Linked DNA regions of Stegostoma tigrinum. The protein of the gene in region 1 purifies or fractionates together with the protein of each later gene. This does not show direct contact. Links are inferred from orthologs where the notes say so. Each region holds a gene or a part of one and is shown on either strand. Other genes may lie near its edges. The genes, in order: foxj1b and cdk20.

Evidence for each region.
Region 2: the proteins of foxj1b (region 1) and cdk20 purify together in Homo sapiens (affinity purification with mass spectrometry; 3 studies listed by BioGRID and IntAct, counting the BioPlex papers as one, with this or other methods). This does not show direct contact. The link is inferred for Stegostoma tigrinum from reciprocal best matches to the Homo sapiens genes FOXJ1 and CDK20.

What each region holds. Positions count from the first base shown.
Region 1 is NC_081376.1:5,681,895-5,696,746, forward strand, and holds the start of foxj1b (forkhead box protein J1-B), read left to right. Parts: upstream 1-8,775; 5' UTR 8,776-8,789; coding exon 8,790-8,878; intron 8,879-9,115; coding exon 9,116-9,701; intron 9,702-14,852. UniProt on the Homo sapiens protein: Transcription factor specifically required for the formation of motile cilia. Acts by activating transcription of genes that mediate assembly of motile cilia, such as CFAP157.
Region 2 is NC_081402.1:3,298,989-3,314,420, forward strand, and holds the start of cdk20 (cyclin-dependent kinase 20), read right to left. Parts: upstream 6,373-15,432; 5' UTR 6,277-6,372; coding exon 6,202-6,276; intron 5,609-6,201; coding exon of another isoform or gene 5,458-5,608; intron 866-5,457; coding exon 752-865; intron 1-751. Other genes in the region: ras-related protein Rab-7a-like, read left to right, coding at 5,458-5,608, 10,638-10,720, 14,926-15,052. UniProt on the Homo sapiens protein: Required for high-level Shh responses in the developing neural tube.

The DNA.
Region 1 (14,852 bases):
AGTCCTTTGTTAATGTTCAATCTTCCAAAGTCATGCTAACCTTACTCCTGAGGGAGTGGGGGCCGTGTCCTCTGGGGCTTAGTCTCCAATGAGTTCCTCAGCTACTGTCCGTTTATTAGTCATTCGGCCTCCTATCAACTCCTACGGATGGCATCTTTTTATTCAGTGTCTGCCCCTGAGAATTGTGGTGATAAATCTCAGCGATCTAGCAGCACTGCAACTCATTCATTTCAGCCTGATCCTGTAGTCATGATGGGTTTTACACTCACCCTATTTTAGGGACAGTTTTTGAATTGCAAAATGATACTTGCATAATTCAATCACTAGCCTTTCATAATGTGATTCTCTGCTGTTCCATTTTAGCTAGGTTAATGACTTGATGTTAATTATGGCCTTCCATTGAAGGTAGTTGATGCTACAAAGGGAAGGAAACAGTGCTATGGTGGAATATCACCAGACTGGAAAGAGGTCCAGGTTCAGTGTCTGGGATTACAGCTTCAAATTCTGTCATGGCAGCTTTGGAAATGTAAGCTTAACTCTTTCATAACTCTGGAAGTAAAAGCTACCCTCAGTGGTGGGAACCATAAATCTATCAGCTATTGCTGTAAAAAAGACCCATGTGGTTCACAAATGCCCTTCAGGGAAGAAAATCTGCCAACCTTTACTCAGTCTGGCCTAGATGAGACTCCAGACCCACAGCAATGTGCTTGGTCCTTCACTGCCCTCTTAAATGGTCTACTCAGCGTAATTAGGGATGGGTAATAAACAGTAGTCATACCATCGATACACGTTGATGAAACAGTTTGTAAAAATAAACATGAAGTGAGACTTAGAAACCCTATCACAGTCACTGCTGGGGGAGTGATTGAAACTGGGAGTTTCATAAGAGACCAGGATTGGAGGAGATAAGAGAACTCTCTGGATTGGAGGGACTGTTGGAAAAGTATGGAACAGTAAGGCCATGGATGGATTTTCAAAGTCGGGCATTGCCCAATGGAGCCTGTGAAAGTTAGAGCATGATAAATTTGTGATGAGCTCTAAGTCATGTAGGAAGGATCGAGTTGGGGAGCTAGAAAATTGTCAATGTTGGATGTGACAAATTCTCAGATGAGGGTTTCTACAGCAGATGAGCTGAAGTAAGGTTGTAATAGTGGCATTTACAGAGTTGAAAGTAGACAGCCTGAAGATGGTGTGGGTATGCAGTTATGAACACCACATGGTTATAAGCTGGGTATCCAGTGTGCTAAGTGAGTGTGCATTTTAAAATTTGTGTTGTTGAGCAAGATTACTTGTGGTTTAGGGCCAGTTGTGACTTCAGACATTTTTCCACGTGAATAGAGATGAAAGTGTAAGATGTTCCATGCGATTTGAGAGTGTTTCTCTCTCTGTGAATCATATTTGACCGCAGTTAGCTATCAATTTCCCATCATAGTGATGGATGAGTTCCTGTTTTGTCTTTCGGTTTGAGAACTGCACCTAAGCTCTTCGGGCTTGTGTTCATGACTAGGTGTGGTTTTCTCAGAGGCTGCATTGACAGTGTTATTTTAGTATGTGTTGTATAATAAAGGCCACAGAGTATTTTTTAATGGACACAATCTTTCAAGATGACTCCTGGAATTGAGATGACTTGATCCAATTGAGCCAATAAAAGCAGACAGACTGACATGTTTAGGAATTGGTTCACGCTTCGGCAACACAATGAATCTTTCCAAAGGTGTGAGAATTAAAAGCTTCTAAGAGAACAGGAGACTGAAAGGAAACCACAGGGATCTCTGGCATGTGACTTCTTTCTGGAACAACAATTTATCAGAGTTAGCGAAGCAGCTGTTAGTTTTCTTTGGTTGTGCTTAAACAGGCTGTGAAGATATCATTTTGGCAGAACACCTCAAGCAGGAGTCTGAGACACCTTCTCAGAGACTCAGGTCTCAGGAAAAGGAAACAAATAAAAAGGCTTTCAGAACTCAACTATTGCTCTTCTCACAGAATCTAGGTATTTTGCAAATGTCATAACTGTACAGCTAGTGAGGAACAAGGAAGCATCTCCATGTGTTGTGCTAACTGAATACACCTTTAGAAGCATTCTCCAAGTATTTTACTATAGAAGCCATTAGAACTGCTAAATTCAGACTAAGTTTTCATTCCTTTTAAATCTGAAAGAGAAATCTTGAAGCGAGTAACATGCCTGCATCAATAACGGACTGCTCTTACTTCACATTTTATCTCTTATCCATACCTTTATCAAAACTTTGCATTTTTAGCTAATAAATTCACAAGTTTCAAATCTGTCTTTCTTGAAGCTGAGGTTACATTCGACATGACATTGTAGGAATGGCATGTTGCTATGGTTCGAGGTGTTGTTAAATGACATTCCCACCTACACTTACATTTATGGCAGTAAGTACACCTTCACCTTGTGGTGCAGACTCACTCATACACTGAGATGCCTCAGCTGCTCACTTCACTCCGAAGTCAAACTTTGTGTATTGAGGGAAGTCCAAAGCCTGGAACAGGAAATGATTTCTTTAGCCAGTGGTTAGAATCTGGAATGCTCTGCCTGGGGGGGTGGGGGTGGGTGCAGAAGGCTAGATTGACAAAGGGGAGTTGGATATGGACATGGAGAGAAAATGTTTGCATGAGGGACGAATTAATTTGCTCTCGCAGAAGACTAACTAACATTCATTCCCCATCCATCCGCTGTGCCCAGAGTAAAATAAAAATTGGCCTTCCTGAACACAGCAGGCCAAGCGGCATCAGAGGAGCAGGAAAGCTGACGTTTTGGGTCTAGACCCTTCTTCAGAAATGGGGGAGGAGAAAGGGGGTTCTGAAATAAATATGGAGAGAGGGGGAGGTGGATAGAAGATAGATAGAGGAGAAGATAAGTGGAGAGGAGACAGACAGGTCAAAGAGGCGGGGATGGAGCCAGTAAAGGTGAGTGTAGGTGGGGCGTTAGGGAGGGGCTAGGTCAGTCCAGGGAGGACGGAGAGGTCAAGGGGGTGGGATGAGGTTAGTAGGTAGGAGGTGGGGGTGGAGCTTGAGGTAGGAGGAGGGGATAGGTGGAAGGAAGGACAAGTTTGGGAGGCGGGGATGAGCTGGGCTCGTTTTGGGATACAATGGCGGGGAGGGGAGATTTTGAAGCTTGTAAAGTCCACATTTGATACCATTGGGCTGCAGCGTTCAACTATCTCTAAGAAGCCTACTGTTAGATTCTTTGACTGGGCAGCACATACGAATCTATCCTGATTGTGATGAGAGCTGCATTAAAAATCCATTTCAGATAATCAGTCAAGCTCATAATCTACAGTTCCTACTATCTCTGAAACTCATGTTTGCTGGAAGTGACTGACATCCCATCCTCCCCGTCACCTTTCCTAAATATCCCTCCTTTGCTTTCACTCTATTCCTCCATTCCACGTCCTTGCTGCTCCTTCTCCCGCCAATTCTCCTCCCCGCCCCACGTCCCTCACTGCCCCTCCTCCCCGCCCCACGTCCCTCACTGCCCCTCCTCCCCGCCCCACGTCCCTCACTGCCCCTCCTCCCCGTCCCACGTCCCTCACTCCCCCTCTTCCCCGTCCCACGTCCCTCACTCCCACTCCTCCCTGCCCCACGCCCCTCACTCCCTTTCCTCCCTGCTTCACATCCCTCACTCCCCCTCGTCTCTGCCTCACATCCCTCATTACCCCTTCCTGTCCCCAGTTCACATCCTCACTCTCCCCGTGCAATCTCCCCATTCCAATGTTGTGTTTCTTCTCTGTGTGAGCATGGTGTGGCCTCTGCTGTCATATTGTAAAAGTGAGGTGGTGATGTATTGGGTCTGGAATTGTGGAGCTGCAGTTTCTGGTGTTTGGTGAGTGGCCACTGTCTTTCGACAACAGACATAATGCACCGGGTGCTTTTGTTTCCATTGAGTTCTTCATGGCAACACGTCAACCAATGAGAGTCAATTTGCCAACCAATCAGCTGACCATTTCTCTTGTGGTTAAAATCTTTGTCTTGGTTTGGCTTTCTCGTACTTGTCCTGATGCGTGTGCACAATGAAAAGCTTAGGCAACACTTCTTTAAGCAAGATTATCATTCTGTCCCAGCAAGTGACTGTGTAAAACATTTAAGATAACGAAGTGTGGTGCTGGGTGAAGACAACAGGCCAAGCAGCATCTTAGGAGCAGAAAAGTTGACAGTTTGGGCCTAGATCTTTTAATTAGACAGAATTTTTGTCAACAAAGGTCAACATTCAATTTTTTGTTTGATGTCCGGTCATTAGTTCTTGATTTATTCTGGAGGTGACTTCTCTTAAATCCCCGCATTGACCAACAAACCATGGAATAAATACAAACCATAATTAAACAATCTAAATTAATATTTAAGATGCCACAAGGGACCATCAAATGGCACAAGGATAACAAAAGGTGACAAGCATAAACAGACCAAATAATTGCACAAACCTTTGACTAATATTTTAGCCTAAATTATTTTGTCAAAGCTGCAGTGTGAAACAACCTGTCCGTTCCAGATTCAAGACCATGCATCACTCTGGGAAGAGCAGGTGGGTCTTGGATGGTGACTGGCACTTGGTCAGGAGCAGGACGGGGCATGCTGGGAGAGGCAACAATGTCTAAGATAGGAACACTGCAATGTTCCTTATCCACATGGAGAACTCTGCCTGGCTCCTGCAGAGAAGGGAAGGCCGAAAGCTGGTTTCTTTATGTTTTTTCAGAGCCAGATCATCTGCAGTGTCTTCCATGCTCAGAGTTAAGTTAAAATTGTCAATTTATGAAGTGCGCACATGGCTTGGCTGTACTGTCAATAGCCTACCTGCTCCAGAGGTGTGATGTACATGTAATACAATGTTGTTAAAAATATCTACATTGAAACCCTTGCCAACCCAGAGAGTTTTGTGGTGCTTGGTAGAATAAGATGAAAGCTTTGTTAAGGATCTCAATAATTTTAATTGTTCAGGCCCCCAGGATTCCATCAACTGAGCAAAACTCACCCTCTTCAGTGTTTGTTCGGTGACCTGATATTATATATTATTCCCAGAAGGTGGCAGCATAGTCAGTGTTACAGTTCCTGCATCAGCAAGTTACATTTCAAATAACAAGACAGGTGACATTTTCTGGAAATTCCTTTTGAAGTGTGGAACTGGTTAATCTGACATAAACGTAAAAAGTCTTGATAAAAATAGATGAAGGCTATCCATCACCTTTTCATTTGACACACGAGTATTTTCGTGAAATAATTTCTGCTGTTTTTCAGTTGTTTATGTGTGATGTAAACTGTAATCAAAATGATTTGTGAAGCTTTTAACTTCCTCCTCACAGAAAAAATAAAGTTCCATTTCACTGCCCCTTCAGCTGATCCTTTTACCCCTTTTTAAAACCAGAATTACTTACAGCAAATTGTCACGTTGGTTGTTATTGGGCAAACTCAAGAGCAGAGAAATAAAGTGGCTCACTAGCATTTTAATATTTTGTTACAAATATTGTAGCTGACATGAGGAAGAGAGGCTTGGAATAGTAAAAACTTGTTTAAACATTGTAACATTTAAACATTATCATTAAATAGAGAAAGCTGTAAAATGCAGGCAATGTCTAAAATTCTTCAAATCTTTGGAACAATTTTGATCAAAGTTAAAATGTTGCACAATTAAAATATTATTATAGAATTCCAGCATGTTACATTTATTTTATCACATTATCCAAATGTATTTTATGAAATTTTATTCAAAATGAAAAATAATCCTCTTTCATTTGAGATTAATTTCACAGCTGTATTGGACTAGTGCTGGGTGTCTGCTTTGTTAAGAAACCTATTTTATTTTAACATTCCTGACATCTGGGAAACGCAGATCTTACTCATACCTTCCTGGAATGGAAGAGGTTTCAGATATATAATAGGATTTCTTTTTGATTGTGTCAAATTTCCAAGGAGCGTCTCCCATTTGTATTCTTCCTCAAGAAAGTAAGAAGCAAATCAAGTCCTTACTCTCGGACCTAATCCAATGAGCAATCCCACTGGAATAACAAAGCCTTGAATAACAAGCTGGCTTACTTACAAACATAAAAATAGCAGCAGCAGTAGGCCATTTGGCCCTTCAGGTCTACTACACCATTCATGGCAGATCATCCAAGTCACTTCCCAGTTTTGCCCCATACACTTTGATCCTTTTAAACTATACCCAGCTCCTTCTTGAAATCATTTATTGTTTTGGCCTCAAGTGCTTTCTGTGGCAGAAAATTTCACACGGTCACTATTCATTTGGTGAAGACATTTCTCCTCATCTCAGTCTGAAATGACATACCAATAGCCTGTGACCTGGAAGCCTGGGAATTTGGGAACTTTGACTATGATGCAGGAATTGGTTTAGGGATAATATTTGATGCGGTCGGTATTTGGGCTGGAAATCTGTAGATGGGAAAGAACAGTTTGTGGGTATTGTAAAGTTGGTTGGGAGTACCCTGAACTGGAACACAAGTCAAGAGCAGATCAGTTGGCTGGTCATGTGTAATGGAGTGGTCAGCTCATTTGGTTTTCAGAGGCTTCCCTTTTCCTTTGTTCGTTTAATGGGCATCGCAGGGGCAAGGTCAGTAGAAGTTTCCAGCAGAGGGCAGCCAAGAGTCAATCCTAATGCAATGGGCCTGGAGTCACCCAAAGGCTAGGAAGGGAGACTATGAAGAGTGACTGAATTGACTAGGGCTATATTCACTGAGGTTTAGAAGAATGGGGTGGGAGGGCGTTCTCATAGAAACCTATAAAATTCTGACAGGACTAGGCAGAAAGGAAGGAGGGATCCTGATGACACAGGAATGCAGAACTACGGGGTCAAAGTCGAAGGATGCAAGGTGTGCCACATCAGACTGAGATGAGGAGAAATGGCTTCACCCAGTGAGTGGGGAGCCTGTGGAATTTGCTGCCACAGAAAGCGGTTGAGTTCAAAACATGGAATGTTTCAAGAAGGAATTAGATATGTTTCTTAGGGCTAAAGGGATCAAAGGGTATGGGGTAGAAAGGAGAGGGGGGTGGTGTGCAGGGGCTGTGTTTATAGGGAAGATAATGGCCTACTGGTATTAACACTGAACTGTTAATCCAGAAACTTGGGTGACATTCTGGGGACCTGGGTTTGAATCCCACAGCAGCAGATGGTGAAGTTTGACTTCAATAAAAATCCAGGATTAAGATTCTAATGTTGACCATGAATCTGACTGTTGGAAAAACCCATCTGGTTCACTAGTGTCCTTTAGGGAGGGAAACTGCCATCCTTACCTGGTCTGGCCTACATGTGAATCCAGACCCACAGCAGTGTGGTTGACTCTTAACTGCCCTCTGGGCAATTAGGGATGGGCAATAAATGCTGCCAGTAATGACCATTTCCTGTGAATAAATAAACGAAAGTTGGATGATCAGCCATAATAATCAGTGTCAAAAGGCCCCATAGCCCAGTCCTGCTCCTAGTTTATATCTTTCTACGCTCAAGGATGTTCTAGAACTGGGAGATTATTATATGTTTATTACAACAGCAATCTTTGCTGCAGTATCGAACTGTATATTCTCGATCGCTATGAGTCAAATTGAATTGAGACCTCCCCCATGGTTGTGTGGATAGCGAGTATCTGTAAGGCACTGGCTGTGTCTCTGAGGGAGCAGGACATGAGCTCAGTGTGTGTCAGAGGGAGAGGGACTGGGGCTCTGTGTGATTCAGAGGGAGAGGAACTGGGGCTCTGTGTGTGTCAGAGGGAGAGGGACTGGGGTTCTGTGTGTGTCTGAAGGAGAGAGGGACAGGGGCTCTGTGTGTGTCTGACAGAGAGAGACAGGGGCTCTGTGTGTGTCTGACAGAGAGAGACAGGGGCTCTGTGTGTGTCTGAGGGAGCGGGACTGGGGCTCTGTGAGTGTCTGAGGGAGAGGGACAGGGGCTCTGTGTGTGTCTGAGGGAGAGGGACAGGGGCTCTTTGTCTGAGGGAGAGGGACAGGGGCTGTGTGTGTGTCTGTCTGAGGGCGAGGGACAAGGGGCTCTGTGTGTGTCTGAGGGAGAGGGACAGGGGCTCTGTGTGTGTCTGAGGGAGAGGGACAGGGGCTCTGTGTCTGAGGGAGAGGGACAGGGGTTCTGTATGTGTGTCTGAGGGAGAGGGACAGGGGCTCTTTGTCTGAGGGAGAGGGACAGGGGCTGTGTGTGTGTCTGTCTGAGGGAGAGGGACAAGGGGCTCTGTGTGTGTCTGAGGGAGAGGGACAGGGGTTCTGTATGTGTGTCTGAGGGAGAGGGACAGGGGCTGTGTGTGTGTCTGTCTGAGGGAGAGGGACAGGGGTTTTGTGTGTGTGTTTGGAAACTCTCTCTCTATCTCGAGTTGCAGCTCTCTCTGCCTTTCCTCATTGGGAGAGCAGTGAAAGGTGAGACCTGGAGACGGGTGCCCAATCATCTGCTTGGGATCTGTTTAAAGGCGACCGAGTAGCCGAGAGGGGGGGGGGGGCGGGTGGGAATGAAGGGATCAGCCTAGCCTATCGTGCACACGGCGTTAGATGTGAAGCCAGCGCTGAGGAGTAGCGCACATTGCTAGCCTGCAGCCAGACCCCAGTTCGATTCCAGCTTTCGCCCCCGCCCACCCTCCCCTCCCCTTACCCCAGGCTGCCGGAGTGTGTCTGGAAGCAGAATAAAACGGAGCCTGGTCTTTCAGTGAGGGAGTTACTGTACCCGCCAGGATTTCTTCGGAGGGTCAGGTGAGAGAATCTGAAACGCAACAGGTTCCATAGAGCGGCAGAAGTATATTATATTTGCAGCTTTCGGGAAAACAAACAAACAAACAATGCAGCTGGTTTTGGAGAGGTGTTCGGAATATTTGGAGAGCTCTGTGAGGGGAGAGGTCATGATTGAGGATGTCAAAAGCAATGCGAGGTTAATGATTCTCATTTTAACCCCCCTCCTTCCTGCTGCATTTTGTCGGTTTCAGTCTGTTTGTAACACGGAGCAACTGCGTCGTATTGCCTGGGTCTCCGTCAGTGCAAAACTGAGCAAGTTCTTTTTTTTGTTAAAAGAAAGAATCTGACTTTATTTTTGCACTGCACCCTGAAAAATGCAGCACTTTTGCATTCAGCGTGTTAATAATCCTGCGTTTTTATTTCACTCCCTCAGCCTTGCCAAGAAAGTTTCGATTCCGCGCTGCAAGCGACGGGAAGCGTTGCCGGTTGAGCGAGAGAGAATGCCCGTTCTGACTTCTCCAGAAATCGCCACGAAATTCAAGGAGAACTGGATGATGCTGCACCCGGATGATCAAGATAACGTGAACGGTGCTGTAAACCTGGACGACAGTCTGACCAGCCTTCAGTGGCTGCAGGATTTCTCCATCCTCAGTGCCAACCTGGAGAAGCCTGCTGGTGCCCAGCATCACTGTAAGCAGCAGCACACACCCGGCTCAGACTCCCCTGCTTCACCTCCAGCTGGCGATACCGCTGCCAGTGGTGTGCCAGCTGGCCTGGGCAAGACCACCTCGGCTGTGGCTGGCACCAAGACCTTGATTCAGGCTCAGCCTCCTTCCCAGAGCCCAGCAGAGGATGTTGACTACAAGACAAACCCCCATGTCAAACCACCCTACTCCTACGCCACGCTTATCTGCATGGCCATGCAAGCCAGCAAGAAGAGTAAAATCACCCTGTCTGCCATTTATAACTGGATCACCGACAACTTCTGCTACTATAAGCACGCTGACCCCAGCTGGCAGGTAGGTGGTCAAGCTAACACAGTCTTGCAGCTTCAGACTCTCCACTGTTGAATTCTTTACTGACTTGTACTTAGAGACACAGGAAACAGACCCTTCGGCCCAACTCATCCAATCTGACCAGTTTTTCTGACTAAATAGTCCCATTTAGCCCATATCCCTCTACACCTTTCCTGTTTGTGTACCTGTCCAAATATCTTTCACATGTGTTATTGTGGGAGCCTCCTCTGGCAACCCTCTGCGTGAACAGGTTACTGCTCAGGTCCCTTTTAAATCTTTCCCCTCTCACCTTAAACGTATGTCCGTTAATCTGGGGCTCCCCTACCCTAGGGGAAGGTCCTTGACTATTCACCTTATCCATGCCCCTCGTAATTTATAAGGTCACCCCTCAGCCTCCGACACTCCAGTGAAAAATGTCCCAGCCTCTCCTTATAACTCAAACCCTCCAACCTCAGTAACATCTTGGTAATCCTCTTCTGCACCCCTGCATGTTTGAACAGTAATTGGCGTATCATCAGTATTATCTCTAAAATGCCATCTCCTCTCTCTGTACCTTTTTAAGCTGAATTACAGTGGGGCAGGGGAATGGTGGCATCAATGGGAAGTGCAGTCTGAGTTTCGGTCTGGGGTTTCAGCCTCTCCTTAACGTTAGCTGAGGTCCTCCCAAAGCCAGGAGAGAGCTGAACCGCATCTCTGCAGCCCTGCTGCTGTGGATGCTATCCTCTCACTGCACAGAAAGCAACTTGGATATATTCTGTAAACTTGCTGGCCAAGGAATACTGCACAGACACTGCTGTGCAAGCCAGTTTTCCAGTTTCTGGAGCAAGATTCTTACTTGAGTATGTCTTAGCTCCCTAGCCCAGTATACATCAGCTTGTTTGGTACAGTCAGCGGGATTCAGTTTAAAGAATTACTTCACACAACAAAGAATTGAAGGCAAGATATTTGTTTTCTTGCAGGCAAGCCACCAAATGTGACGCATCGATATGTTACTCAATGTGCATTTTTGTGTTTGGAATTATTTTTGCACTTTTTTGACTAATTGTAGAATGTGAAATAATGACAGTGGAATAGTTGGCAATCTTTCTCCAAGAAAAGGCAGTAGGGGGAGCAAGATTTCAGCGTGGTGTCGTTCTATTTATCAAGTGCTGACTTAACTGATTGGTCAGCCAGACAGGGACTGTATCACCTTTCATTCCCACTTTGGTGATGAGAGTGTGAAAATTTATCTTTTGGGATCTTGACCAGTACCGGAAAAGGTGCACTCATCTTCCTTAAACAGAACCAATTGGGAAACCAGTCATCCAGAGTCCTGTAAGATTCGTACTCCCCAGACTGATAGAGTACTTTAGACAGTCGACAACAGACTCAATGAAGAATTCAACAGAAAGCTCTTTATCCCGAGACTGGTCAGAATATGCGAGTCACTGGTGAATAGTTGACGTGAGGAGCTTGGATGCATTCTGAGGGAAAACCAAGGTAAACACATGGGGAAAATGAAATAGCAGCATTGAATAACACAGTGCAGATGGAGACCATTCAGCACAGCAGAGCTGTGCCAATCCCTGGTTACATCTATCCAGTTAGACTAAATTTCAGACCTTTTTTCATCGTAGTTAAACAATATTTTATTTTTTCCAGGTTTAACCCAGCTCCTTCTTGCTGGTTATTGTTCAGTTTGCGTCCATCGGGCTTTCAGGCAGTGCATTCCAGACCAGAACTCCTTCCGGTTTTCTTCCCCAGGTTGTCCTCTCTCTTCTCTTATCCAGTTAGTTTTGATTTGTATCCTCTCTGGTTCCTGATCGTTATGCAACAGGGAATAATTTCTCCACATTCACACTGTTAGGAACCTTTGTGACTGTGAACCCCTCGATTAAACCTCCCTTTCACCTCCTCAGCTCTGAGGAGAACCATTGCTTTTGAGTTTTGAATCTTCGTGTCTGAGTCTTGGAGTCACTCTAGCAGAGGGCCCATCAAGCTCAATGCTGACTTTCTGTTGATTTACCCAGTCAACTTTGAGTTGATTTCCCACAAGTACCCATTCAATTTACCATTGAGATTGTTCATCGTCTCTGCATCCACCTCCCTGGCAAGTGGGAAGTTATTTCTCACAACCCTTAGTGTATTTTACCCAAGCATTAATCCTGTGCCCCCTAGTCCTGGTGCCAACTGCTAACAGATAACTGAAGTCCTGCATTCCTGATGCCATTCTAGAAAATCACTATCTCCAAGACTTTGACTTTGCAGAATTGGCCCCAGTGCCCTAGTGGAGCCTAGCCAGTATCTTATGAAGATTTAGTGTAACCTTCCTGCTTTTGTTCTCTATATCTCTATCATATCCAGCATGTGCTTTTAACAGTCTTTCGACATGAGTGGCTACCTTCAAATATTTATCTATGTATATCCCCAAGTCACTCTGTCTTGTGTTCCCTTTAAAATTATATCATTTAGTTTCCCTTGTCTCTCCCAAAACTTCGAGAAAATGCGTCACTTCACACTTTGTTCTGCTATATTTCATCTGCCACCCTGTCTGCACGTTTCACCAGGCTGATGTTTGATACTGTACACTCCATTGTTTACCACATCTTCAAGTTTCCAGTCATTTGCAAACTTTAAAATGAAGCCCCCTATATCCAAGTTCACTCAGATCATGAATGTGCCTCAAAAAGCGATTACTAAATTGACGCTTAGAGAATACCACTGTGCACATCTGTCCGGTTTGAAGATGACCATTCAGCAGTTCTGGCTGCTGATTAGCCAGGTTTGTGCCTTGCTGTATTTGCCCTTTCTGTTTGAATGACTGCAAACGCCTACACCTCCTGCTTTATCCTCACCATCCAACCACCCATTCTCTCATCAAAGAACTCCATTAAAATAGAGAATAGAGGTTTGGGATGATATGGTTAAGGGAGGTAAGGTAGGAGGAGGCTTGGATAGATTATAAACACTGGCGCAGAGCAACTGGGCTGGTATGTATTCCTATTAATTCTGCAGAATTCCTGATTCTCATTTTCCTTTGTTTTGGCTTAGCATAAAAATTACCATAGCAAGTTACTTATACAGTAACATAGTGGTTAGCACTGCTGCCTCACAGCACTAGGGACCTGGGTTCGATTCCAGCCTTGGGTGACTCTCTGCATGGAGTTTGCACATTCTCCCCTGTGTCTGTGTGTGTGTTTCCTCCACGTGCTCTGGTTCCTCCCACAGTCCAAAGATGTGCAGGTTAGGTGGATTGGCCATGGGCAATGCAGAGTTATATAGATAGGGTAGGGAGGTGGGCCTGGGTAGAATACTCTTTGGATAATCAGTGTGGACTGAATGACCAGTTCCCACACTGTAGGTGTTCTGTAATTCACACAAGAAGTGTCAATGCTCATTAGCTTTTGCTTTGTCCATTTTGACAGAAAAGTTAAGAGGAATTCTCTTCCATGTTAAATTACTGATGTTTTAAAATTGCTTGTGAGTTGTCAAAATAAATTATCACACGAAGACAAACCTATGGTATTAACTGTGGCATTCTCTCTGCGCTGTGCACAACATCATGATTAATTTGCATAGAATAAAAATTATATGTAAGATCTATATTATCAAAATCAGCTCAGCTTCAGGTAGCTAACAACAAATGTAGACAGCAATGAAATTAGCCATACTTGCAAGGACAACCTCCTTATGATTCATTACTTACATCCTTAATTATATTGCTCTCCACCCTTCCAGTTACACAATAGTAATAGAGCTTGCGACATGTGAAATGATGTTGAGGAGAGTGTACCTTTTGTATTGTAGCAACCTGCTTGGTCCTTGAATATAGGCACATTCTCCTGTAGTTATTTCCCAATCAAAGGCTAGAGGCCTCAGGTTAGGAAGCAACAAGAGAACTTTCTTACCTGAAAGATATCCATTTCCCTGTACTCCCAATTCTAAATATTGTACCTTCCTTGTTTATCAGCATTAACGTTACCAATCAAATCTCATTGACATTTGGATGAAGAGTGTGAAGAAGCTTCATTCTTTAGTGGACTATATAGAAAGATGGCAGCTCATAAAGGACCACTTGGTTTTCAATGGTTGTCCAAATCAGGAACTCTCAGTTGTAAAATGGCTGAGAATGAATTGAAAGTTGAACATTGCAATGTAACTTTTAGATCAAATTAATTAAAAACCAAATGAAGTATTTGCCTTGATTCTCACTAAAGAAGGGAAATATTGTGATTTAAGCAGTCTGGATTTGATCCAAAGATAGCAGGAACTGCAGATGCTGGAGAATCTGATATAACAAGGTGTAGAGCTGGATGAACACAGCAGGCCAAGCAGCATCGGAGGAAATTTCATTTCTGAAGAAGGGCCTCGGCCCGAAACGTCAGCCTTCCTGCTCCTCTGATGCTGCTTGGCCTGTTGGATTTGATCCAGATTTTATTTTACAGGCCATAATTGCACCTATCCCCGATTGAGAGTCTCCTATTACTAAGGGATAGTTGCTAAGAAATCATGTTGGAGCTTCTTGTTTGATCTCTTGTGTTTTGACAGAACTTTTATTGAATTTGATTCACGTCTGGCTATAGTTCATGCATCAGTGCTCAAACACTCTGCCTCATTGTCTGCATCAGTAAAGTAAGCATCTGGAAATTTTATAGCATCCAGAAGATAACTTCAATTCTGCTGCTCCCATAACATTTGTTAAATATTTCTAGGGTAATCTTTCAATAATCTGAAGCTCTGCTTGCTGTTTTAATATTTCTGATCATTTCTGTTTGTGCAATCTGAATTTGAAAGCCTGGCAGCCATCCTGCTGGATGGTAATTTAACAGCCTGAAACAGCATGGGTAAGCAGCATCGTCAATGTCATGCATATGTATCTAGAGCTGGACTTATTCCAGTTGTGATTTTGCGTTTCAACTTACTCTGCTGTAACCTGCTTGTTGGTTGAGTTTTGGTAGATCTGAACAACACATTAAATGGTTCCAGAACAGCGTCCCTCCAGCATCACTGCTTTTGACAGGACACCAATTATATTTTGGTGGAGCGAAGGATGAAAAGAGCTATGAGTACGAATCTCAGCAGGCGTTATTATCTTTTAATGGAGAAAGTTATTCAAAGACGTGAGACTGTACAAATGACTGGCTTATTTTAAAGACACTCTGCCAGCACTGACCA
Region 2 (15,432 bases), on another chromosome or scaffold:
AGACCATCACAGCATTATACCTTCCATCCATGGACTGCATTTACACAGCTCACTGCCACAGAAAGGCAGCCAGCATCATCATAGACCCATCACACCCTGGTAATGATCTCCTACACCCTCTTCCATCAGGCAGATGGTACAGAAACCTGAACACATGCACCAACAGCTTCAGGAACAGCATCTTCCTGGCTGTTATTAGACTGATGGATGGACCTTCTAACCTCAAATGATGCTGATCTTGCCTAGCACACTCCGCCTCTGTCTAAGTCTTTTTGACCCGTACATCCTTGCTTACTAATGATCTGCCTGCATTGCTGGTAAACAAAGCTTTTCACTGTATTCTAGTACACAGGACAATCAATCAATCAATGTAAGGGCACAGTAAACACTCAGAAATGGAAACTCCAATCCTGAAGGTCCCCAGTTCTTGGCTCCCTAAACTTACAAACTTCGGATAGCAACTATGACGGAATGCAAATAAAGAACAGTGACAGCACGCAGTTAGACTAAGTAAAGCTCTCTACTTTTTTAGTTGGAAAATAAAGCTTTCTCCACACTGGCCTCTATCAAACACTCTCATGACAATGACAGCATCGGGTCAGAGACAGTGTTAAGCTCCCTTCGCACCACATCAAACACTGTCAGGACAGGGACAGCATGGGGTTAGATACAGTGTAATGCTACCTCTACAGCACCCCCTATGAAACACTCCTAGGGCAGGAACGTAAAGCTCTCGCTGATCCATACTCACGTATTGATTGTCCTCAATTTCCTGAAGAGCTTTAATCTCCCGCAGGGCCTGGTTCGGAATTCCATCCTCCAGTTTCCGCAGGGCAACTTTCTTGAGAGCAACTGTCTCTCCTGTCTAAAAGCACAAATAGAACAAACAGAAAATGTCTATATAAGCTCAGAGATAGTGGGAACTGCAGATGCTGGAGAATCCAAGATAATAAAATGTGAGGCTGGATGAACACAGCAGGCCAAGCAGCATCTCAGGAGCACAAAAGCTGACGTTTCGGGCCTAGACCCTTCATCAGATGAAGGGTCTAGGCCTGAAACGTCAGCTTTTGTGCTCCTGAGATGCTGCTTGGCCTGCTGTGTTCATCCAGCCTCACATTTTATTACCATGTCTATATAAGCTGTTGTGCTCACAGGGTGACAGCCGCACCTGGAACACAGTGAACAGTTTTAATCCCATTATGCAAGCAAAGAGAGACTGGCACTGGCACAGTCCAGAGAAGGTTGACTCAGCTGATTCCCAGGTATGAAGGGAATGTCTCATGACAAAAGGTTGAGTAGATTGGGCCTGTGTTCACTGGAGTTTAGAAGATTGATAGGGACCTTATAAAAACATACAGGATTGTGAGGGAATTTCACAGGGTAGATGCAGAAAGATTGTTTCTCCTTGTGGAAGAGTCTAGGACCAGAGGGAATAATCTCAGAAGGGGGTTGTACAATTAAGACAGAGATGAAAAGGATTTTTTTGTCCCTCAGAAGGTAGTGAATCTGTGGAATTCTTTACTGCAGTGGGCTGGGCCACTAAATATGTTCGAGGGTAAGATGGAAAGTTTTAATCAGTAATGGAATCTGAAGAGTCATTTGGATGAATGATTAATTGTTGTCGCATGTACCCAAGTACAGTGAAAAGTTTTGCGAGCAGGTCACAGCAAAGCAGGACATACAGATCATAGGGTGCTTAGACAGAGTGAGGTAGGCAAGGTTACGGCTGCAATCAAGTTGCATAAAAGCAAGGTCAACATTATTTGAAATTACGGATGGATTGTCTGAGTACCAAAGGTTCAACCAGTTGGCCTCTACTCACTGGAGTTTGGAAGAATGTCCTCAGTGTAACTTACAGAATTCTTTGAGGGTCTTGACAAGGCCATAGAGTCATACAGCACTAGAAACAGACCCTTTGGTCCAACCAGTCCATGCCAAACATAATCCCAAACTAAACTAGTCCCACCTGTCTCCTCCTTGGCCATATCGCTCTAAACCTTCCCTATTCATGTACTTATCCAAATGTCTTTTAAACGTTGTAATTGTACCCACATCCACTCACTCCACACACAAACCAGCCTCTATTTATACATTTTGCCCCCTTGTGTCTCGTTTAATCTCTCTCCTCTCACTTTAAAAGGTAGATGCTGAGAGGATTTTTCCCCTTAGGTCTAGGTCCAGAGGGCATAGTCTCAGAATAAAGGGGTGCCAGTTTAAGACTGTGACGGGGAGGAATATCTTCTAGTACCTAATACTGTACAACACAGGAAAGGGCCCTTCAGCCCACGATATTGAGTCAAACATCAAACACCAAATTAAACTAATTCCTTCTGCCTGCCATTGGTCCATATCCCTCCATTCCTTAAGTATTCATGTGCTTATCTAAAAGCCCCAATCATATCTGCCACCACCATCACCACTGGCAACACGTTCCAGACTCCCACTACTCTCAGTGTTTAAAAAAAAACCTGCCCCTCACATCTCCTTTGAACTTTCCCTCTCACCATAAATGCACGCTCCGAGTGTTAGTCATTTCAACTCTAGCAAAAAGATTCAGACTTCTATTGAGTCTCCTGTCAGCCTCTGCTGCTCAAGAGAAAACCACCCAAGTTTTTCTGGCCTCTCCTCGCAGCTCATACCCTCTAATCCAGGCAGCACTCTCTTTTTCACCCTCTCCTCGTAGCTCATACCCTCTAATCCAGGCAGCACTCTCTTTTTCACCCTCTCTTCGTAGCTCATACCCTCTAATCCAGGCAGCACTCTCTTTTTCACCCTCTCTTCGCAGCTCATACCCTCTAATCCAGGCAGCACTCTCTTTTTCACCCTCTCCTCGCAGCTCATACCCTCTAATCCAGGCAGCACTCTCTTTTTCACCCTCTCTTCGCAGCTCATACCCTCTAATCCAGGCAGCACTCTCTTTTTCACCCTCTCCTCGCAGCTCATACCCTTTAATCCAGGCAGCACTCTCTTTTTCACCCTCTCCTCGTAGCTCATACCCTCTAATCCAGGCAGCACTCTCTTTTTCACCCTCTCCTCGCAGCTCATACCCTTTAATCCAGGCAGCACTCTCTTTTTCACCCTCTCTTCGCAGCTCATACCCTCTAATCCAGGCAGCACTCTCTTTTTCACCCTCTCCTCGCAGCTCATACCCTCTAATCCAGGCAGCACTCTCTTTTTCACCCTCTCTTCGCAGCTCATACCCTCTAATCCAGGCAGCACTCTCTTTTTCACCCTCTCCTCGTAGCTCATACCCTCTAATCCAGGCAGCACTCTCTTTTTCACCCTCTCTTCGCAGCTCATACCCTCTAATCCAGGCAGCACTCTCTTTTTCACCCTCTCCTCGTAGCTCATACCCTCTAATCCAGGCAGCACTCTCTTTTTCACCCTCTCCTTGTAGCTCATACCCTCTAATCCAGGCAGCACTCTCTTTTTCACCCTCTCCTCGTAGCTCATACCCTCTAATCCAGGCAGCACTCTCTTTTTCACCCTCTCTTCGCAGCTCATACCCTCTAATCCAGGCAGCACTCTCTTTTTCACCCTCTCCTCGTAGCTCATACCCTCTAATCCAGGCAGCACTCTCTTTTTCACCCTCTCCTCGTAGCTCATACCCTCTAATCCAGGCAGCACTCTCTTTTTCACCCTCTCCTCGTAGCTCATACCCTCTAATCCAGGCAGCACTCTCTTTTTCACCCTCTCTTCGCAGCTCATACCCTCTAATCCAGGCAGCACTCTCTTTTTCACCCTCTCTTCGCAGCTCATACCCTCTAATCCAGGCAGCACTCTCTTTTTCACCCTCTCCTCGTAGCTCATACCCTCTAATCCAGGCAGCACTCTCTTTTTCACCCTCTCTTCGCAGCTCATACCCTCTAATCCAGGCAGCACTCTCTTTTTCACCCTCTCTTCGCAGCTCATACCCTCTAATCCAGGCAGCACTCTCTTTTTCACCCTCTCCTCGTAGCTCATACCCTCTAATCCAGGCAGCACTCTCTTTTTCACCCTCTCCTCGTAGCTCATACCCTCTAATCCAGGCAGCACTCTCTTTTTCACCCTCTCCTCGTAGCTCATACCCTCTAATCCAGGCAGCACTCTCTTTTTCACCCTCTCTTCGCAGCTCATACCCTCTAATCCAGGCAGCACTCTCTTTTTCACCCTCTCCTCGCAGCTCATACCCTTTAATCCAGGCAGCACTCTCTTTTTCACCCTCTCCTCGCAGCTCATACCCTCTAATCCAGGCAGCACTCTCTTTTTCACCCTCTCCTCGTAGCTCATACCCTCTAATCCAGGCAGCACTCTCTTTTTCACCCTCTCCTCGTAGCTCATACCCTCTAATCCAGGCAGCACTCTCTTTTTCACCCTCTCTTCGCAGCTCATACCCTCTAATCCAGGCAGCACTCTCTTTTTCACCCTCTCCTCGCAGCTCATACCCTTTAATCCAGGCAGCACTCTCTTTTTCACCCTCTCCTCGCAGCTCATACCCTCTAATCCAGGCAGCACTCTCTTTTTCACCCTCTCCTCGTAGCTCATACCCTCTAATCCAGGCAGCACTCTCTTTTTCACCCTCTCCTCGTAGCTCATACCCTCTAATCCAGGCAGCACTCTCTTTTTCACCCTCTCTTCGCAGCTCATACCCTCTAATCCAGGCAGCACTCTCTTTTTCACCCTCTCCTCGTAGCTCATACCCTCTAATCCAGGCAGCACTCTCTTTTTCACCCTCTCCTCGTAGCTCATACCCTCTAATCCAGGCAGCACTCTCTTTTTCACCCTCTCCTCGTAGCTCATACCCTCTAATCCAGGCAGCACTCTCTTTTTCACCCTCTCCTCGTAGCTCATACCCTCTAATCCAGGCAGCACTCTCTTTTTCACCCTCTCTTCGCAGCTCATACCCTTTAATCCAGGCAGCACTCTCTTTTTCACCCTCTCTTCGCAGCTCATACCCTCTAATCCAGGCAGCACTCTCTTTTTCACCCTCTCCTCGCAGCTCATACCCTCTAATCCAGGCAGCACTCTCTTTTTCACCCTCTCTTCGCAGCTCATACCCTTTAATCCAGGCAGCACTCTCTTTTTCACCCTCTCTTCGCAGCTCATACCCTCTAATCCAGGCAGCACTCTCTTTTTCACCCTCTCTTCGCAGCTCATACCCTTTAATCCAGGCAGCACTCTCTTTTTCACCCTCTCTTCGCAGCTCATACCCTTTAATCCAGGCAGCACTCTCTTTTTCACCCTCTCCAAAGCCACTTCAGAGGAAATAACCCTGGCTTTTCCAGATTAAAAAAAAACCTATAGAACTGCGGATGTTGTAAATCAGGAACAAACTTGCCCCTCACGTCCCCCCCTTGAACTTTCCCACTCTCATCTTAAATGCATTTCAACTCTGGGAAGAAGATTCAGACTTCTGACACTCCTGAGGAAGGGTCACCGGACCCGAAAGGTTAACTCTGATTCTTTTCTTCTTCACAGAAGCTGCCAGACCCGCCGAGCTTTTCCAGCAACTGCTCGTTTTGTTGCAGGTTTTTCCGATATCTCCTCATGGCTCGTTCTGGGAGGGTTGAGAGTCTTTGGATTTCCCCAGGGCCAGTGGAGTCCAAAACTGGAGGGGCACAGGTTGAAGGTGAGAGAGGGGGAAAGATTTAAAAGGGACCTGAGGGGCAACGTTTTCATTCAGAGGGCGGTGCGTGTGTGGCATGAGCTGCCAGAGGAAGTGTTGGAGGCTGGTACAGTTACATTTAAAAGGCATCTGGATGGGTCCATGAATAGGAAGGATTTAGTGGGATATGGGCCAAACGCTGGCACATGGGGCTCGATTAATTCTGGACATTTGGTTGGCACAGGTTGGACCCAAGGGTCTGTTTCCTCGCTGACCTGCTTGCCACAGAGAGCTGTTGGGGGGGACCGGGTCCCGGCGTATATTGAAGGCCGAGACAGATTCATGGTGGGCCGGGGAATGGAAGGGACATCAGGAATATTGGGGCCAGCAGGCTGGAGGGGCCGAACGGTCCCCGGACATCATGAACCTCCTGATCCTATGTCTCATGGAAGGTGGGGATAGAGACAGGAGGCGAGAGACCGCATGTGAGGATAGTCAGGAAAGGCACGATGTCAGCGGTGGGATAGAATGGAGCCAACGGGCCGAATGGTCTCGGGGTCTGGTCCCTGGCTCAGGAGGGTGGGTGTCAAATACTGGGAGGGGTGGGCGGGCCGCACCTCGATATGCTTAGCCTTGAACACGATTCCGTGTGCCCCCTCCCCGACCCGGCCAAGGATGTTGTACTGCTCCATGGCTCAACCCCGCGGAGCCCGGCGGCTTGCGGCTGAAGCCTGCGGGTTAGGCCGCGGGGTCGCCAGGGCAACGGGGGCGGTGCGACGTCATCCTCCCTTACGGCCGCCGTACTTAGGCGTGATGTCATCGCGCACGACCCCATCCGCCGAGGGCAACCACGCCCACTACCGCGCGGAAATGTCACCGCCCCCTTAAAGGGACAGTCCATGGAACGAAGGCAGACTGATGGGGCTTCCTGGAGGTGGCCTGTTGAACCTGCCCCATTCCCTCCGCTCTTCATGAGTGTATGTCGTGGAGGTCCCCAAGGTCATCATAACCCTGCCACCTAGGTATTCTAATCCCATTAGGGGCTGGACGGGGTTACAGGGATAGGGAGAAGGTGACAGGGGTGGGGAGGAGGTATACGGGACTGGAGGAGGTGAAAGAGATAGGGAGGGGATAGAGGGGACTGGAGGAGGGGATAGAGGGAGGGAGGGGATATAGGGGATTGGAGGAAGGGAAAGAGATAGGGAGGGGATATAGGGGACTGGAGGAGGTGAAAGAGGGAGGGAGAGGGGGAGGGGATATAGGGGACTAGAGGAGGGGAAAGCGATAGGGAGGGGATATAGCAGACTGGAGGAGGGGATATAGGGGACTGGAGGAGGGGAAAGCGATAGGGAGGGGATATAGCGGACTGGAGGAAGGGAAAGAGATACGGAGGAGGGGATATAGGGGACTGGAGGAGGGGAAAGAGATACGGAGGAGGGGATATAGGGGACTGGAGGAGGGGAAAGAGATACGGAGGAGGGGATATAGGGGACTGGAGGAGGGGAAAGAGATACGGAGGAGGGGATATTGGGGACTGGAGGAGGGGAAAGAGATACGGAGGAGGGGATATAGGGGACTGGAGGAGGGGAAAGAGATACGGAGGAGGGGATATAGGGGACTGGAGGAGGGGAAAGAGATACGGAGGAGGGGATATAGGGGACTGGAGGAGGGGAAAGAGATACGGAGGAGGGGATATAGGGGACTGGAGGAGGGGAAAGAGGGAGGGAGAGAGGGAGGGGATATAGGGGACTGGAGGAGGGGAAAGCGATAGGGAGGGGATATAGCGGACTGGAGGAGGGGAAAGAGATACGGAGGAGGGGATATAGGGGACTGGAGGAGGGGAAAGAGATACGGAGGAGGGGATATAGGGGACTGGAGGAGGGGAAAGAGGGAGGGAGAGAGGGAGGGGATATAGGGGACTGGAGGAGGGGAAAGAGATAGGAAGGGGATATAGCGCAGTGGAGGAGGGGAAAGAGATCGGGAGGAGGGGATATAGGGGACTGGAGGAGGGGAAAGAGGGAGGGAGAGAGGGAGGGGATATAGGGGACTGGAAGAGGGGAGGGAGATGGGGAGGGGATATAGGGGACTGGAGGAGGGGAAAGAGGGAGGGAGAGAGGGAGGGGATATAGGGGACTGGAGGAGGGGAGGGAGATGGGGAGGGGATATAGGGGTCTGGAGGAGGGGAGGGAGATGGGGAGGGGATATAGGGGTCTGGAGGAGGGGAGGGAGATGGGGAGGGGATATAGGGGTCTGGAGGAGGGGAGGGAGATGGGGAGGGGATATAGGGGACGGGAGGGGGCCGGAGAGTTTGGGATGCGGCGCGGTTTGCAGAGACACTGAGAGAAGGAGCCCGCACTGTGTTGGTTTAACTGGCCCTTTCCCAGTGAATGGGTTTGTCGCCGGTGCAGACCCAGTGACAGTCGCAGAGCGATCCCAGAAAGGAGGCACGTCTGTCGCTGTCTCCCCCGCCCCCATGAGGCCGGAGAACTTCAGAAACAGACCTGGGGAGTGTCGAACAAGAAGAAAACCTCCCTCCCAGAAGCTGGGAGCTGGTGAGCTCCAGCGGGGAACTGGATTTGACAAAACACGGAAGTGGCAATTACTTCCCTGAAAACTTTGGTTAACTTGAGAGTAAAGTTGGGGATTGAAAGGCGATAAATTTGCTTTGTACCTGCGACAGGGTGGGTAAGGTGTGAATATCCCTCTTCCCCCATTTGGTTTGTTTCATATGTCAAACAAAAGAAAAACTTTGTCAGATTCCCGACAATTGACAGGCCCCGGGGTTTTGCTTAGTCTTTCACTGTCTGTCTCTCAGCCCCGAGGTGAGAGGCCGGTTCTTGTCCATTTAGTTGAGTTTTGATTCGGAGAGAGATTGGGTAGCGGGGCAATGTTTACCTGCATTTTATAATTCACTGAGATTGGGTCCTGCCTGTGACAAGAGGATTGTACCCGCAGCTCAGTTTGTCTGATGCTGCAATTCAAACGTCCGCAGGGACGTGAATTTAACGCATTTTGCGCACATTTGCGCCACAAAGTGTTTACTTACAAATGTTTCTGTCTCCTACTAAATCAGTGTGTAATTACTGCGAGTGATGAGAATGCAATGAGGAGGCGATGTCAAGTAGTGTTGTCGCTAAGCGTTAACCCCACAGTCAGGTAACGTTCCCGGAACCCCAATTCGAATCCCACATTAAGAATAGATCTTGACCGTGGAAGCAGTGTAAAGACCCATCTGGTTCACCAATCTCCTTTAGAAAGGATTGTCAGTGCTAAGGGAGCGGGCACTGTCGGAGGGTCAGCGCTGAGGGAGCGCCGCACTGTCGGAGGGTCAGTGCTGAGGGAGTGGGCACTGTCGGAGGGTCAGTGCTGAGGGAGCGGGCACTGTCAGAGGGTCAGTGCTTAGGGAGCGGGCACTGTCAGAGGGTCAGTGCTGAGGGAGCGGGCACTGTCGGAGGGTCAGTGCTAAGGGAGCGGGCACTGTCGGAGGGTCAGCGCTGAGGGAGCGGGCACTGTCGGAGGGTCAGTGCTGAGGGAGCGGGCACTGTCGGAGGGTCAGTGCTGAGGGAGCGGGCACTGTCGGAGGGTCAGTGCTGAGGGAGCGGGCACTGTCGGAGGGTCAGCGCTGAGGGAGCGCCGCACTGTCGGAGGGTCAGTGCTGAGGGAGCGGGCACTGTCGGAGGGTCAGTGCTGAGGGAGCGGGCACTGTCGGAGGGTCAGTGCTGAGGGAGCGGGCGCTGTTGGAGGGTCAGCGCTGAGGGAGCGGGCGCTGTCGGAGGGTCAGCGCTGAGGGAGCGCCGCACTGTCGGAGGGTCAGTGCTGAGGGAGTGGGCACTGTCAGAGGGTCAGTGCTTAGGGAGCGGGCGCTGTCAGAGGGTCAGCGCTGAGAGAGCGCCGCACTGTCGGAGGGTCAGTGCTGAGGGAGCGGGCACTGTCAGAGGGTCAGTGCTGAGGGAGTGCTGCACTGTCAGAGGGTCAGTGCTGAGGGAGCGGGCGCTGTCAGAGGGTCAGCGCTGAGAGAGCGCCGCACTGTCGGAGGGTCAGTGCTGAGGGAGCAGGCACTGTCAGAGGGTCAGTGCTGAGGGAGTGCTGCACTGTCAGAGGGTCAGTGCTGAGGGAGCGGGCGCTGTCAGAGGGTCAGCGCTGAGAGAGCGCCGCACTGTCAGAGGGTCAGTGCTGAGGAAGTGGGCGCTGTCAGAGGGTCAGCGCTGATGAAGCGGGCGCTGTCGGAGGGTCAGTGCTGAGGAAGTGGGCGCTGTCAGAGGGTCAGCGCTGATGAAGCGGGCACAGTCGGAGGGTCAGTGCTGAGGGAGCGGGCACTGTCAGAGGGTCAGTGCTGAGGAAGTGGGCGCTGTCGGAGGGTCAGTGCTGAGGGAGTGGACACTGTCAGTGGGTCAGCGCTGAGGGAGCGGGCACTGTTGGAGGGTCAGCACTGAGGGAGCGGGCACTGTTGGAGGGTCAGCACTGAGGGAGGGGGCACTGTTGGAGGGTCATCTTATAAGGGTGAAGCCCACTTCAGGAAAGTTGTCTGCCATGAAGGGGGTTTGTGACACTTTGAGTTTGAGAAAATCTCTGGATAAGTAGATCCTTGTTGCCTTCCTGGAACATTCTGATTTTTTTCCAAATGAAAATGCCTATATACGGCAGTCCCAATTTCCACGTGGATACCTTAAATGAGTAAAACCCATTTTATTTTCTCTGTGTTCTTTTGTGGGATGTGGGTGTTGTGGGTCAGAACAATATTTGTTGCCTGTTGCTAATCAACGTGAGGCTGGAGTCATGTGTAGGCCCAGATGGGGTGAGGGTGGCACATTTCCCTGCCTCCATCGACTTTTGTGAACCTGATGGATTTGTACATGAATTGACATTCTTTGTCATGGTTCGGACTAGCTCTCAGTTCCTGGTTTTATGAATTGAATTTAAATTCTCCCGGGGCCATGGTGGGATTTGAATCCGTGTCTCCCTGCAGCATGACTGTCGTGACTTTACCATTTTATCCCATTGAACAAACCAGTCCTGTTATTCCTGGTAACATGTGCCCCATTCTCTGTTTCAGAACCCTGCCGTCTCCCCACTGGATATTGCTGAATCAATGACGAAGCCTGTTCACCTGAAGGTTGTCCTTCTGGGCGATTCTGGGTAGGATGAACCAAATAGACTGCTTCCGCACTGTAGCGGTTCTTTGATTACTGTCCTGTAGGGTGGGGGGGTCCCCTTTTATTTGTGACCCCTTCCTCCCCCACCCTGTCACTACACCTGCACAGACTGGGAGTCACCAACACCCTGTATCTTGGGTGATCATCTGCCAGCTATTTGCTGAGCAGTCCCAGTTGCATGAGTAACTCCCCTGAACAAACCATTTAAGACAATCGGTCAAACCCCTTTTTGGAATTAACCAGGAGTCTGAGCAACCTGTAGGCCTATCCCTGGCAATGCTGCATGCAATTACAAAGGTCTTGCTTCTCATGAAATTTAAATTCTTAAGCATGTCCTGATGATGTCTGTGTTTACAGCAAGGTTCTTGTGTGTTACAAAGTGATTATTTAGTGTGTGCTACTTTTATTCAGTAACATGCCATGTGTTATAACAGGTTAGTGTAGCACCCTTACCATACTTCTGGGCCCCTAATTGATTATAGGAGTGTGGATTGAGCCCCAAGCCACACACACGAGATTTCAGGGAAAAGTGACCAAAACCTCAGCCAGGTTTGTCTTCAAGGATCATCATAAAGTTGCGGACAAGAGAAAGGAAGAGTCAGGGAGCTTTAGGGAAGCCTAAAAGCCCTCCGGTTCTTCCTGTCCCCCAGGCCTGACCAGTTCCCCTCCGTTGACACCCTCATCCGCCTAGTTGAACTCAACCTCACCCTCAACAACTTCTCTTTTGATTTCTCCCACTTCCTACAGACAAAGTGGGTGGCCATGGGTACCCACATGGGCCCAAGCTATGCCTGCCTCTTTTTAGGTTATGTGGAACAATCCCCCTGCCGTACCTACACAGGCCCTAAACCCCACCTTTGCCTCCGTTACATGGATGACTGTATTGGCTCCGCCTCGTGCTCCCACGAGGAGCTCGAACAGTTCATCCACTTCACCAACACCTTCCACCACAACCTCAAGTTCACCTGGACCTCTCTGATACCTCTTTCTCCTTCCTGGACCTCTCTGTCACCGTCTCTGGTAACCTTGAAACTGATATCTATTTCAAGCCCACCGACTCACACAGCTACCTAGAATACGCCTCCTCTCACCCACCTTCCTGCAAAAATGTGATCCCCTATTCCCAATTCCTTCGCCTCCGCTGCATCTGCTCCCAAGATGAGGCGTTCCACTCCCGGACATCCCAGATGTCCTCATTTTTCAAGGACCGTAATTCCCCCCAGCGCCATCCCATTGGTCGAAACTGCCCTCAACTGCATCTCTTCTGTTTCCTGCACCTCAGCTCTCAGACCCACTCTCCACAATAAAAACAAAGACACAATCTCCCATGTCCTCACGTATCACCCATTAACCCCTGGATTCAACGCATCATTCTCTGCCACTTCGGCCACCTGCAATCTGACCCCACTAAGAAGGGTATACTTCCCTCCCTACCCTTATCTGCCTTCTGGAGGAACCACTCTCTTCACGACTTGCTCATCCACCCCATACTCCCCAGCAGCCCCACCACCCCCAGCATCTTTTCCTGCAACCACAGGAGGTGCTACACCTGCCGTTACACCTCACCCTTCACCTCTATCCGAGGCTCCAAGAAAACCTTCCACATTCACCTGCACATCATCAACGTGGTCTATTGTGTCTGCTGTTGCCAATGTGGCCTCCTCTACATTGGCGAGACCAAGCGGAGGCTCGGAGACCGTTTTGTGGAACACCCACACTCCGTTCGCAATAAAGACAACACTTCCCAGTTGTGAACCACTTCAACTCCCCCTCCCACTCCCTGGGCGACATGTCCATCCTAGGCCTCCTCCAGTGCAACAACGATGCCACCCAAAAACTGGAAGAACAGCACCTCATATTCTGCTGGATAGCCTATAACCCAATGTACTTCATTAGTTTCAAAATCTCCTCACCCTCTGACCTGATCCCAAACCATTACCCCCCCTCTCATCCCCGCCTCCTTCATCTATCCATCTTCCCTCCCACCTGTCCACTCCTCCCTCCTCACTGACCAACCCCCATTCCAATTTCATACCTACACTCACCTTTATAGCTTCATCCGTGTCTCCTTGACCTGTCCGTCTTCTCTCCCATGTATCTGCTCCACAATCCACCTTCTATCACCGCGCCCCCTCCCCATTTATTTCAGAGCCCTGTCTGTTACCCCCCTCTAGCCCCTTCCCCTTTTCTGAAGAAGGGTCTAGACCCAAAATGTCAGCTTCCTGCTCGCCCTGCTGTGTTCATCCAGCTCCACACCTTGTTATCTCAGATTCCAGCATCGGCAGTTCCTGCTGTCCCCAGGTTTAGGGAGGGCTGTATTCCAAATTTGATGTGGAGGTGCCAATGTTGGACTGGGGTGGACAAGGTCAGAAATCACTCAACAGCAGGTTATAGTCCAACAGGTTTATTCAAAAACACAAGCTTTCCAAGCACTGCACCTTCTTCAGATGTTAGTGAGAGAGGCAATATCAGACACAGAATTTATCAGTACAAGATCAAAGGCTCACACCACTGATGAGGATGTATTAAATAACCCTAAGATGCTGTTAAATCTTTAATCAGTTTGAGGGTTTTAATTGATCAGTATGTGTATGTAAATCCCTGAGTTTGTTTTAAGTTACAGTCCTGAGAGAACTAAAGGTTTTACCATTGTAAAGAAGAGACGGGACTTTAGGTCAGACAATAACGTTAGGTGTGAGACCCAGTTCTGAGGAAGGGCCACTGGACCCGAAATGTTAACTCTGTTTTCTCCTCCACAGATGCTGCCAGACCTGCTGAGCTTTTCCAGCAACTTTGTTTTTGTCCGATGTATAGACCTTGTTTAGAATCTGTTTGTGTTTCGGTTTGGAGTCAGACTGGTTTTATTTTTAAAGTAGGAATTTGTAGAACATCACATTGACTGACTGTCTGTACATTGTGTGCTTTTTGAACAAAATATATCTGCAAATACAAATTGACCCCATACACACACTCACCTCTTCCGCCCCTGCCACGTGCGCGCACACGCACCCTGTCTGACTTCAAACCAAAACACAAACAGATTCTAAACAAGGTCTATACATCGGACAAAAACAAAGTTGCTGGAAAAGCACAGCAGGTCTGGCAGCATCTGTGGAGGAGTAAACAGAGTTAACATTTCGGGTCCAGTGGCCCTTCCTCAGAACTGGGTCTCACACCTAACGTTATTGTCTGACCTAAAGTCCCGTCTCTTCTTTACAATGGTAAAACCTTTAGTTCTCTCAGGACTGTAACTTAAAACAAACTCAGGGATTTACATACACATATTGATCAATTAAAACCCTCAAACTGATTAAAGATTTAACAGCATCTTAGGGTTGTTTAATACATCCTCGTCAGTGGCGTGGGCCTTTGATCTTGTACTGATAAATTCTGTGTCTGATATTGCCTCTCTCACTAACATCTGAAGGGCTGAGGCTCCAAAAGTTTGTTCTCAAATAAACCCGTTGGACTATAATACCTGCTTTCATGCGATTTCTGACTGTATTCTACATAGGGAGGGTGTAGGAGCTGGAGGGGGTGACAGAGATAGGGTGGGGGGCACGAAAGGGGCTGGTGGAGGTGATAGGGCAGGGGTGTCGGGGCTGGAGGAGGCGACAGGGAGGGATGTAGGCGGCTGGAGGGGGTGACAGAGTCAGGGAGGGAGTGTAAGGGGCTGGAAAAAAATGGATGAGGAGAGTGTCGCCAGCGAACATGGGGTGACTGGTGATTGGGACTCTAATGTCAGGACTGGACACAATCCTCCAGGCAGAGGCTGAATCCTTTTCCCCCCAGCATTGTGGAGTCCAAAACTAGAGGGCATAGGCTTAAGGTGTGAGGCGAAAGATTTAAAAGGGACCTGAGGGGCAGCGGTTTCACGCAGAGGATGGTGTGTGTATGGAATGACCTGCCAGAGAATGTGGTCGACGCAGGTACAGTTGCAACATTTAAAAGAAGTTTGGACAGGTACCTGTATCGGAAAGGTTTAGAAGGAAATGGGACACGTTTGGTTTGGGAAACCTGTACGACATGGACGAGTTGGTCCGAAGGCTCGGTTTCCATACTGTTGTAACATCCGCAGGCTGTGGCAGGAAATGACGAGCCAGCACAGATAATTGGGCCAAATGGCCTCTCGCTGTGCTGTGGTACTTCTCTGATGCAGTCGGTGACCCTGTCCTTGGCCTGTTTCAGGGTGGGGAAATCATCCCTCATGAACCAATACGTGAACAAGCATTACACCAATCAGTACAAGGCGACTATTGGAGCGGATTTCCTCAACCGTAACATCACTGTCGACGGCAAAAATGTGTGTTTGCAGGTTCGTAACAGCAAGAGACACTTACCGCCCCCCACCCCATCTGTCCCTGACCCCCACCACAGCCACAGCTCAGGCACAACTGCCAATGGGAGAGCCACAGGATCCAGGGGTTGCTGGAAAAGCTCCCCAGGTCTGGCAGCATCGTCCTCAAAACTCAGGCACCGGACCCGAAACATCAATGCGGAGTTTTTTTTCTTCGCTGATACTGCCAGACCTGCTGAGCTTTTCCAGCAACTTCTGTTTTTGTTCCTGATTTGCGGCATCCGCAGTTCTCTTGGTTCTTTTATAAACAGGACTCAGGGGTTGCTTGAGAGGCAGGAACTGAAGGAGCAGAGAGATCTCAGTGGTGGGGGAGGGGGGGGCACGGTGGTCAGAGGAGA